2 linked regions of the Xenopus tropicalis genome follow. The protein of the gene in region 1 interacts with the protein of each later gene in a biochemical or structural test. Links are inferred from orthologs where the notes say so. Each region holds a gene or a part of one and is shown on either strand. Other genes may lie near its edges.

Evidence for each region.
Region 2: the proteins of ptprb (region 1) and cntn1 form a complex in vitro, tested with the Homo sapiens proteins (2 studies listed by BioGRID). The link is inferred for Xenopus tropicalis from reciprocal best matches to the Homo sapiens genes PTPRB and CNTN1.

What each region holds. Positions count from the first base shown.
Region 1 is NC_030679.2:59,464,061-59,467,895, reverse strand, and holds part of ptprb (receptor-type tyrosine-protein phosphatase beta), read left to right. Parts: intron 1-969; coding exon 970-1,092; intron 1,093-2,112; coding exon 2,113-2,276; intron 2,277-2,539; coding exon 2,540-2,675; intron 2,676-3,835. UniProt on the Homo sapiens protein: Plays an important role in blood vessel remodeling and angiogenesis. Not necessary for the initial formation of blood vessels, but is essential for their maintenance and remodeling. Can induce dephosphorylation of TEK/TIE2, CDH5/VE-cadherin and KDR/VEGFR-2.
Region 2 is NC_030679.2:65,256,797-65,260,631, reverse strand, and holds part of cntn1 (contactin-1), read left to right. Parts: intron 1-1,055; coding exon 1,056-1,155; intron 1,156-2,401; coding exon 2,402-2,583; intron 2,584-3,288; coding exon 3,289-3,413; intron 3,414-3,835. UniProt on the Homo sapiens protein: Contactins mediate cell surface interactions during nervous system development.

The sequences.
Region 1 (3,835 bases):
GGAGGGTTGAACAAGGTTGAAAATTGTAGGGCAGGTTTATTAATGGTCAAGATCCTGGGAACAAGAAATCTTCTGCTAACTGATATAAAAAGTTGTAGGAGGGAGGAGGAGTAAATTACTTTGCATAGAAAACTGCTGCAATTTTTTTTACTTAAAAAAAACACCTAATCGGAAGCAAATCAAGCCAGGGGAGTAAGAATTCAGGGAATTGATGGTTTGATGGAAGTAAATTGAAGTTGTGTAAGAGGATAGAGCAGGATAGCATTACTGCACTGGATAAAGTTTTGCTGCATTGGGAAAAGTGACATATATACTAAGTCGGTATGATAAAGGGCAGAACTCAAAAAAAAGAATAGAAACCTGGATTGTACATTTCATTGTACTACACCTTGTTGCCAGGATTTTTTATGACTTAGCAGGAAAAATGTTTCAACTGTCTAAAGACCCTGGTTGACATTCCAATTAGAAATTTGGCATCTTGAATTGTTGGATCCTTTTCAAGGTGAGCTGTAGGTTGATCTTGGTGAAGTTTTTGTCCACTGCAATTTTTCTCTAAAAATTATATATATCATTATATATATATAAGGGTATCTGTGATGATTATGTCAACATTATTTAACATCAGGTTTATACAGGTTTTTTTCCCTGGTGAGCAGGAAGAAGGTTTGAAAGCAACAATTATGTTTTTATCTGATTACAGTGTATTTTGGATGCAGTGAAATGGGGGTGCAGTTAAAATACATAGGCATTGTTTTCCAGTTGATATATTTAACAAGGGGGTTGCATTTTTATTTACTGCCAAAACCATATTTCTTTTCTTTGTAAATAATAATAATAAAAAAAACTAAAGAGCTTTGTGTTTTATAAGCAGTTCTGAAATGATTCAATAACAAGAATTCATAATGAATTGAAACATTATCTTGTCTAACACCATTATCCATTCTGTATTTTTGCTGTGTCCCTTCACAGGCAAAATGCGATCATTATTGGCCCATGGACCAAGACTCATACTATTACGGAGACCTGATAGTACAAATGCTGTCAGAATCTGTGCTTCCTGAATGGACAATAAGGGAATTTAAAATCTGCAGTGTAAGAAATTCTTCTTATAAAGTTTAAACCATGTGGAATTTTCCTTTGCTACCAAGTGCCATTTATCAGTCTCTTAAAATCAATGCAAAAGTATATACAGTACGTTTTTAGCTTCTCTGTGTTGTAGCAATTCATCATCCTGTTGTGTGCCTCTTTCAATACCTCGGAAAATTAAATGTCAGAATACATATTTTAGGGCTTAAAGGGGCAGAGTAATCACTAAAAGACAGAGTTGTGGCTATATTGTGGCATTTCATGGCACTCCAGAATTTTTAGGAGCACACTTCCCAGCTCCCTCACTCCAGCTTTCTTATATAGAAGTCGTAGCCTACAGCAGTGAAACAAACATAACCTTTTCTTGCTATATACACAGAATCTTGGCAATGCAATAATAAATTATGCTGGGAACTGGTAAGACAACATTAACAACTGTAACAACACATCAAAAATTGGTTTATTGTCACTTTCCTGTCACTTTCCTTTTGAACAGCTAGAAACTAGGTAGGAATTAGCTGAGCAAAGTTTTAATTTGACAGCTCTGTCTCTTTTTTTATATTGTCTTTTGTTGCCCATTCAGACTTTAGTTACTTAAATATCATATGTCGTTTTTTTTACTTTTTACATCCCACTGTGTAAATTACAGTGATTTATAAATAAATACACTTCTTGGCTCATGGTAATTATTAAATTGTCACATTTTATAAGCTTTAATGGAGGATGGATTGGCTTGCTATTAAGCACCCTTTATTGAAGACATACTGTCTTAAGAGGTGATGGTTCTAGTTCTTCTTTGGGGTCTAATTAAAGGGAATATAGTCCATAATGTATTAGTATGGTATGTTTTCAATTTTTTTTTGTTGTAGCAATTTTATAGAATGTAAAAAAACTAATAATACTGTATGTTCAAATTATGTTCATTGTTTGATTTTAATGTATTTTGTTTATAAAGTGTTGCAGTCCTATGTTGCTGGCTAGATGTCACATTATAGAAACAGAACACTGTTTTTTTTTCATTTACAGGAAGATCAAATTGATGCACCACGACTAGTCCGTCATTTCCACTATACAGTGTGGCCAGATCATGGGGTGCCAGAAACCACCCAATCACTGATCCAGTTTGTAAGAACAGTCAGAGACTATATTAACAGAACTCCTGGAAGTGGCCCTACTGTGGTGCACTGCAGGTACAGCAGAACTAGTTTCTTATCCTTAATTTTTACATTTACATTATTGCATATTAAACATAATTGATTAATGCAAAAATTGCTGCAGTTTTACTATCGTAAATGTGGTCCAGGAGATGTCAGTTTAACAACAGTTGGGCATACTGTTTTTAATAAAGTTATTTACCTTAGTTTCCATCATATTGTAGTTCATGCATGGGTGCAGCCTTAAAAACACATTTTATATTTGCAGTACATGGGATGACAATGTGTATTTGTTACAGTGCTGGTGTTGGCAGAACTGGCACATTCATTGTACTGGACCGAATGCTTCAACAAGTTGATACAGTGGATTCAGTGGATATATTTGGAGCTGTTAGGGACCTCCGAATTCACCGGATGTACATGGTGCAGACCGAGGTAAGAAGTAGGATTCAGATCCAATTCATCTACATCACTGAGTCCCATTGACAAACTACTTGTATATTAAATGCATAGCAGCATGTAGTAAATATAGATACAGAATGATCCTGTAAAGGAGGCAGAAAACATTTGTAACATAAGTGCGTTAATTATACATGCATAAACTGTATAGACTTTCTCACCTTGACTGCCAGGTTTAACAAAATGGATGAACAAAGCTGCCAATAATCAGTACTATATATGGATTTACTACAAGGGTTTATTTTCAAAATCTAACTATGGCCAAACCTGGATAGGTTTTAGTGTCATGCTGAAAGTTTTCCCCTAAATCTCACAATGAGCGGGTACAATAAAATATTTTGTTAATCATTTAGGGGCTGATTTACTAAGACACGAATTCGAAATCGAATCGTATTTTTTGCGATTTTTTCGGCGCCTTTACGACTTTTCGGAAAATTATCGATACTTTTTCGTTACCAATACGACTTGCGCGAAAAAACGCGAGTTTTTCATAGCCATTACGACTTGCGCGGAAAAACGCGAGTTTTTCGTAGCCATTCCGAAAGTTGCGCAAAATCTGCCGATTTTTTCGTAGCGTTAAAACTTGCGCGAAAAGTCGCGCCTTTTTCGTAGCGTTAAAACTTAAAAGGCGCGACGTTTCGCGCAAGTTTTAACTCTACGAAAAAATAGTGACTTTTCGCGCAAGTTTTAACGCTACGAAAAAATCGCCAGATTTTGCGCAACTTTCGGAATGGCTACGAAAAACTCGCGTTTTTTCGCACAAATCGTATTGGTAACGAAAAAGTCGCGATAATTTCCGAAAAAATCGCAAAATACCGATCATTACGAAAAAAACGCAATCGGACGCATTCGGCCCGTTCGTGGGTTAGTAAATGTGCCCCTTAGTGTGTCCATGTACACTGTAAAATCTTTTCACTTTATTCTTGCTGTGAGGGCCTGGCAAGTACTTTCCTATTCGGTCAAGAATATAAATGATTATTTTCATATTGTTGCTGTGCACAGCCCTTGCATTATCTTGTTTTACTGTTTCTGTGATTAATCATATTAACTTACACTAAATAGCCATTGCTAATATGCTGCTGTCATGAATACTAAATATTTCATTTTGTTTAGATGAGGTAAGGCTAGATGACACA
Region 2 (3,835 bases), about 5.8 Mb from region 1:
TTGAAATTGTGCCTCAGAAGCTGAAGGTCAAGATCCTCCTGTCTATTAGAGCAGTAGAATATTGGCAGTTCAAATATCTGCTGGTACAGTAAGAGTAATAGTCCTTATGTTACCACACAAACAGTAAAAAAAAATACAACAGCAGAATTTTATGACAGGGTAGCAGGAACTGCATTTAAACTATACCTAAATAGAGGTATCCAAACAACACACGGTATCAAGTGCTGTTACATACTTTACTGTAACTGCACATTTCATTACCTTCCACACCAAGGTAATGACATAAAAAATTTATATTTTTCTCTTACAGGCTATAGTCATATACATATATAAAAGATCTGACTAAAATATATAATTGACAGAAATTGCACTGTACAATGATTTAACATAGCACAAATATTGGAATAGCTAATAATTACATGCTAAAAAATGTTTTTTTTAGCAGTACAGTCACATATGTGAAAATGTTTTTATTCTAATATAATAATTCTTTAGTAAATTAAAAATCTAATAATAATTCCTTAGTACAGGTATGGGATCCCTTATCCGGAAACCCATTATCCAGAAAGCTCCGAATTACGGAAAGCCCGTCTCCCATAGACTCCATTTTAATCAAATAATAGAGAATTTTAAAACTGATTTCCTTTTTCTCTGTAGTAATAAAACAGTACCTTGTAATTTATCCCAACTAAGATATAAATAATCCTTATTGGATACAAAACAATCCTATTGGGTTTAATTAATGTTTTATTGATTTTTTAGTAGACTTAAGGTATGGTGATCCAAATTACAGAAATACCCCTTTTCTGGAATACCCTTGGTCCCGAGCATTTTGGATAATGGGTCCTATACCTGTATATTCAATTTTGTCATCCAGTGAAAACTAAAATGTTTGCATATATACTCCTGCCATAATACCTAAATGTAATTTTAGACTCCTATTTCCTTAATTTTTTTCTCAGTGCACATTAAAAACTCATGATTGTTTCATAAACAGAACAAAATTGCAGTGTTTCATCCTTAATATTTACTAATGGGATATTTTGTTTTATTAGAGAAACCTAAACGTTATACACCTGTTATTAATGTCAAATTTAAAGACACTCGTGCCTTGAAAGATCAAAACGTCACACTGGAGTGTTTTGCTTTGGGAAAGTAAGTAATACTCAGTAATAATGATTATTGTCTATGGGGGGGCATTGTTTTCATAAAAAAAAAAAAATTTTTTTGCCATTTATTATGCGTCAAAACTGCAACAAATCTAAAAACTATTGAGATTATGTAGATGCCCTTTTTTACAACTGGAAGATCTTTCTTTGCTTCATGGTTTTAAGGGTTTCAGGGGTTTTCTCACACTTATTTGTGTTTTTAAAAGACTTTTAATAAATCACCTGGCATTCATGGTTTTAGAGAAAATGAAAAAAAAAATTACAAATGGCCCTTCCCATCTTTAAAAATGGACTATGCAAGCATAGTCCATACATTAGGCAGTAACCAAGATTATAGCCAAATACAAAGATTCAACCCATCCTTATTTTCTAATAGCAAGGAATTAAATCCAAGAAAACTGCCCTATGATAGGCTGCAGATAAGACCAGCAGAGGTTTCGCCCTTTATGATCTCAGTTGAGTTGCTCAGTGAAGACTGGGGGCTGGCTATCAAGTGACATTTTAAGACATTACGGCAGATGTGCACAGGTCTCTTTGTGACTGGTTGCTCAATAAACTACTATTTAATGTTTTGATAGGGCTGCTGGTAAAGGCATAGCAGCCCTCAGTGTCTGGGACTCTGGGGCATCATAGAGTATCAATAGCCTTTCATAGGTATATAATAGTGAGTTGTATTGCTGACACTTCTATAGCTTGTGCTGCAAGGTGAAGGGGTGGGAGAATGGCATTATCTATCTTATACTGATTCCTGGAAGTAGAAAGTATGGCATTGACAGATAAACTTCAGTAGGAATGTACTGAATCCTTAAAATAAATTAAAATGGTTGTTAGTGAGATATTGATGTTATTATTTTTCAGCTTGCAACCTCTATTGTATTTAACCTCTATTGTATTTGTTATTTTAAGACTTGTATTCATAGGAAAATCTGTGATGATTTTGTTTTATCAAGTATCTTGTTTTTTTTAGTTTGTTATTTAAATTGCTTAATAGTAGCTGTGTAGTGTCAGTTGTGTATTCAGAATAAGAACAATACCTTAAATGTTGTAATACTTGAGTTGCTGGCCTTAAGATCATTAATATGAAGATCAGTTATGGAAATATGTTAATTTTAAGCAACTTGCTTGTATTTGTTGTAACTGATTATTTAGTAGTTTTTTTTCTCAAGGTCACACTGTCTTATGTTTCCCTCAGTCTCACAAATATGTATTTATATTGTCACCTTTACTTCTAGTCCTATTCCTGTAATCACATGGAGAAAAACAAATGAGGCAATGCCAGCTTCAGCTGAGATAAGCATGTCTGGGGCTGTCTTAAAGATTTTCAATATCCAGCCCGAAGATGAAGGAACGTATGAGTGTGAAGCTAAAAACATTAAAGGGATGGACACACACAAAGCATATGTATATGTAGAAGGTATGCCATGTGTAAAAACGAATTGGGTTCAGCTTTACATAACCATAGCATTCCTCTATGTCTTGGAATTGATAGTAATACTGGCATTTTATTTCAGCCTCATGATGGCTTAATACATTGCATGCATTTTGAACTTTACAAAATGATATATTTCTGCAAAGTTGCCCAATAAATAGTGGTTGATGTAGTTTGTACTTTTTCCCCTAGACATTGCTGGTAAAATTGCTGTTTAAAAATTCATATGCTGAATGTTGTAGGTTCCCAAGTTTTGAAGACAGATAGCTCTCCTTCTACAGGGAAATTATTAAATTAATTTATTAATAATGTTAAGAGGCTTGTTTCCAGGAAGGAGTAAAATTACTCTTTTTTTTTCAAACTAAGAGTCACTGATCCGCCTATAAGCCAAGATAAATGAGTATGTAATTAAACTTTTATACTGCATAGAATTCAATTACCCACACTCATTTGGGATCTATTTATATTAATAATATACTTTAGATTTATATGAGTAATGAAATCAGAAAAATCAGTAAAATCAGATATAAAATGGATGTTAACAGTGTAGAGCTTAATTTCATCCTTGGTTCAAGTTACCAAAAAGTTCATTGAATTTACAGACAAAAGACTTTATTTCCAGTTTTTAAATGTTGTATGTTCTTAATAGATTGGAATAATGTTCAAAATATATATTGCCTCGGTTTCTAGGTGTGCCAGAATGGGTAGAACACATCAATGATACAGAAAGAGATATAGGCAGTGATTTGCACTGGGCCTGTGTTGCTAAAGGCAAGCCACAGCCTAGCATCAGATGGCTGAAAAACGGAGCATCGGTAAGCACAATATGAAATCTCCATATACTTTTCCTGGGCAAAAAATATTTTATTTAGAGCCCATATATATTTTATATTGGAAAGTTGCTTAGAATTATATTTTTTTAATTAGACAAAATTATATTGTAATGTAATATGAAATATTATTTTAATATTTAATATAAGTACTGATTATTTTTGTTTAAAGCCTTACATTCCAAACCTACTTAATTATCCAATCAAAATGAAAATAATTACACAAGAAAGTTCCTACCTGCAAGATTCTGCCTTTATTATTGGCCAACAAAGTTTTTTGTGACCATAACACAAAGCTCTGTATATGCTGAAGAAAGAGTAGGGTGTTCCTGACAATAAACTAATAATAAACCAATTATGGGTTAGAATAGAGTGCTAAAAACCTACCAGGTTGTACCTAATGATCT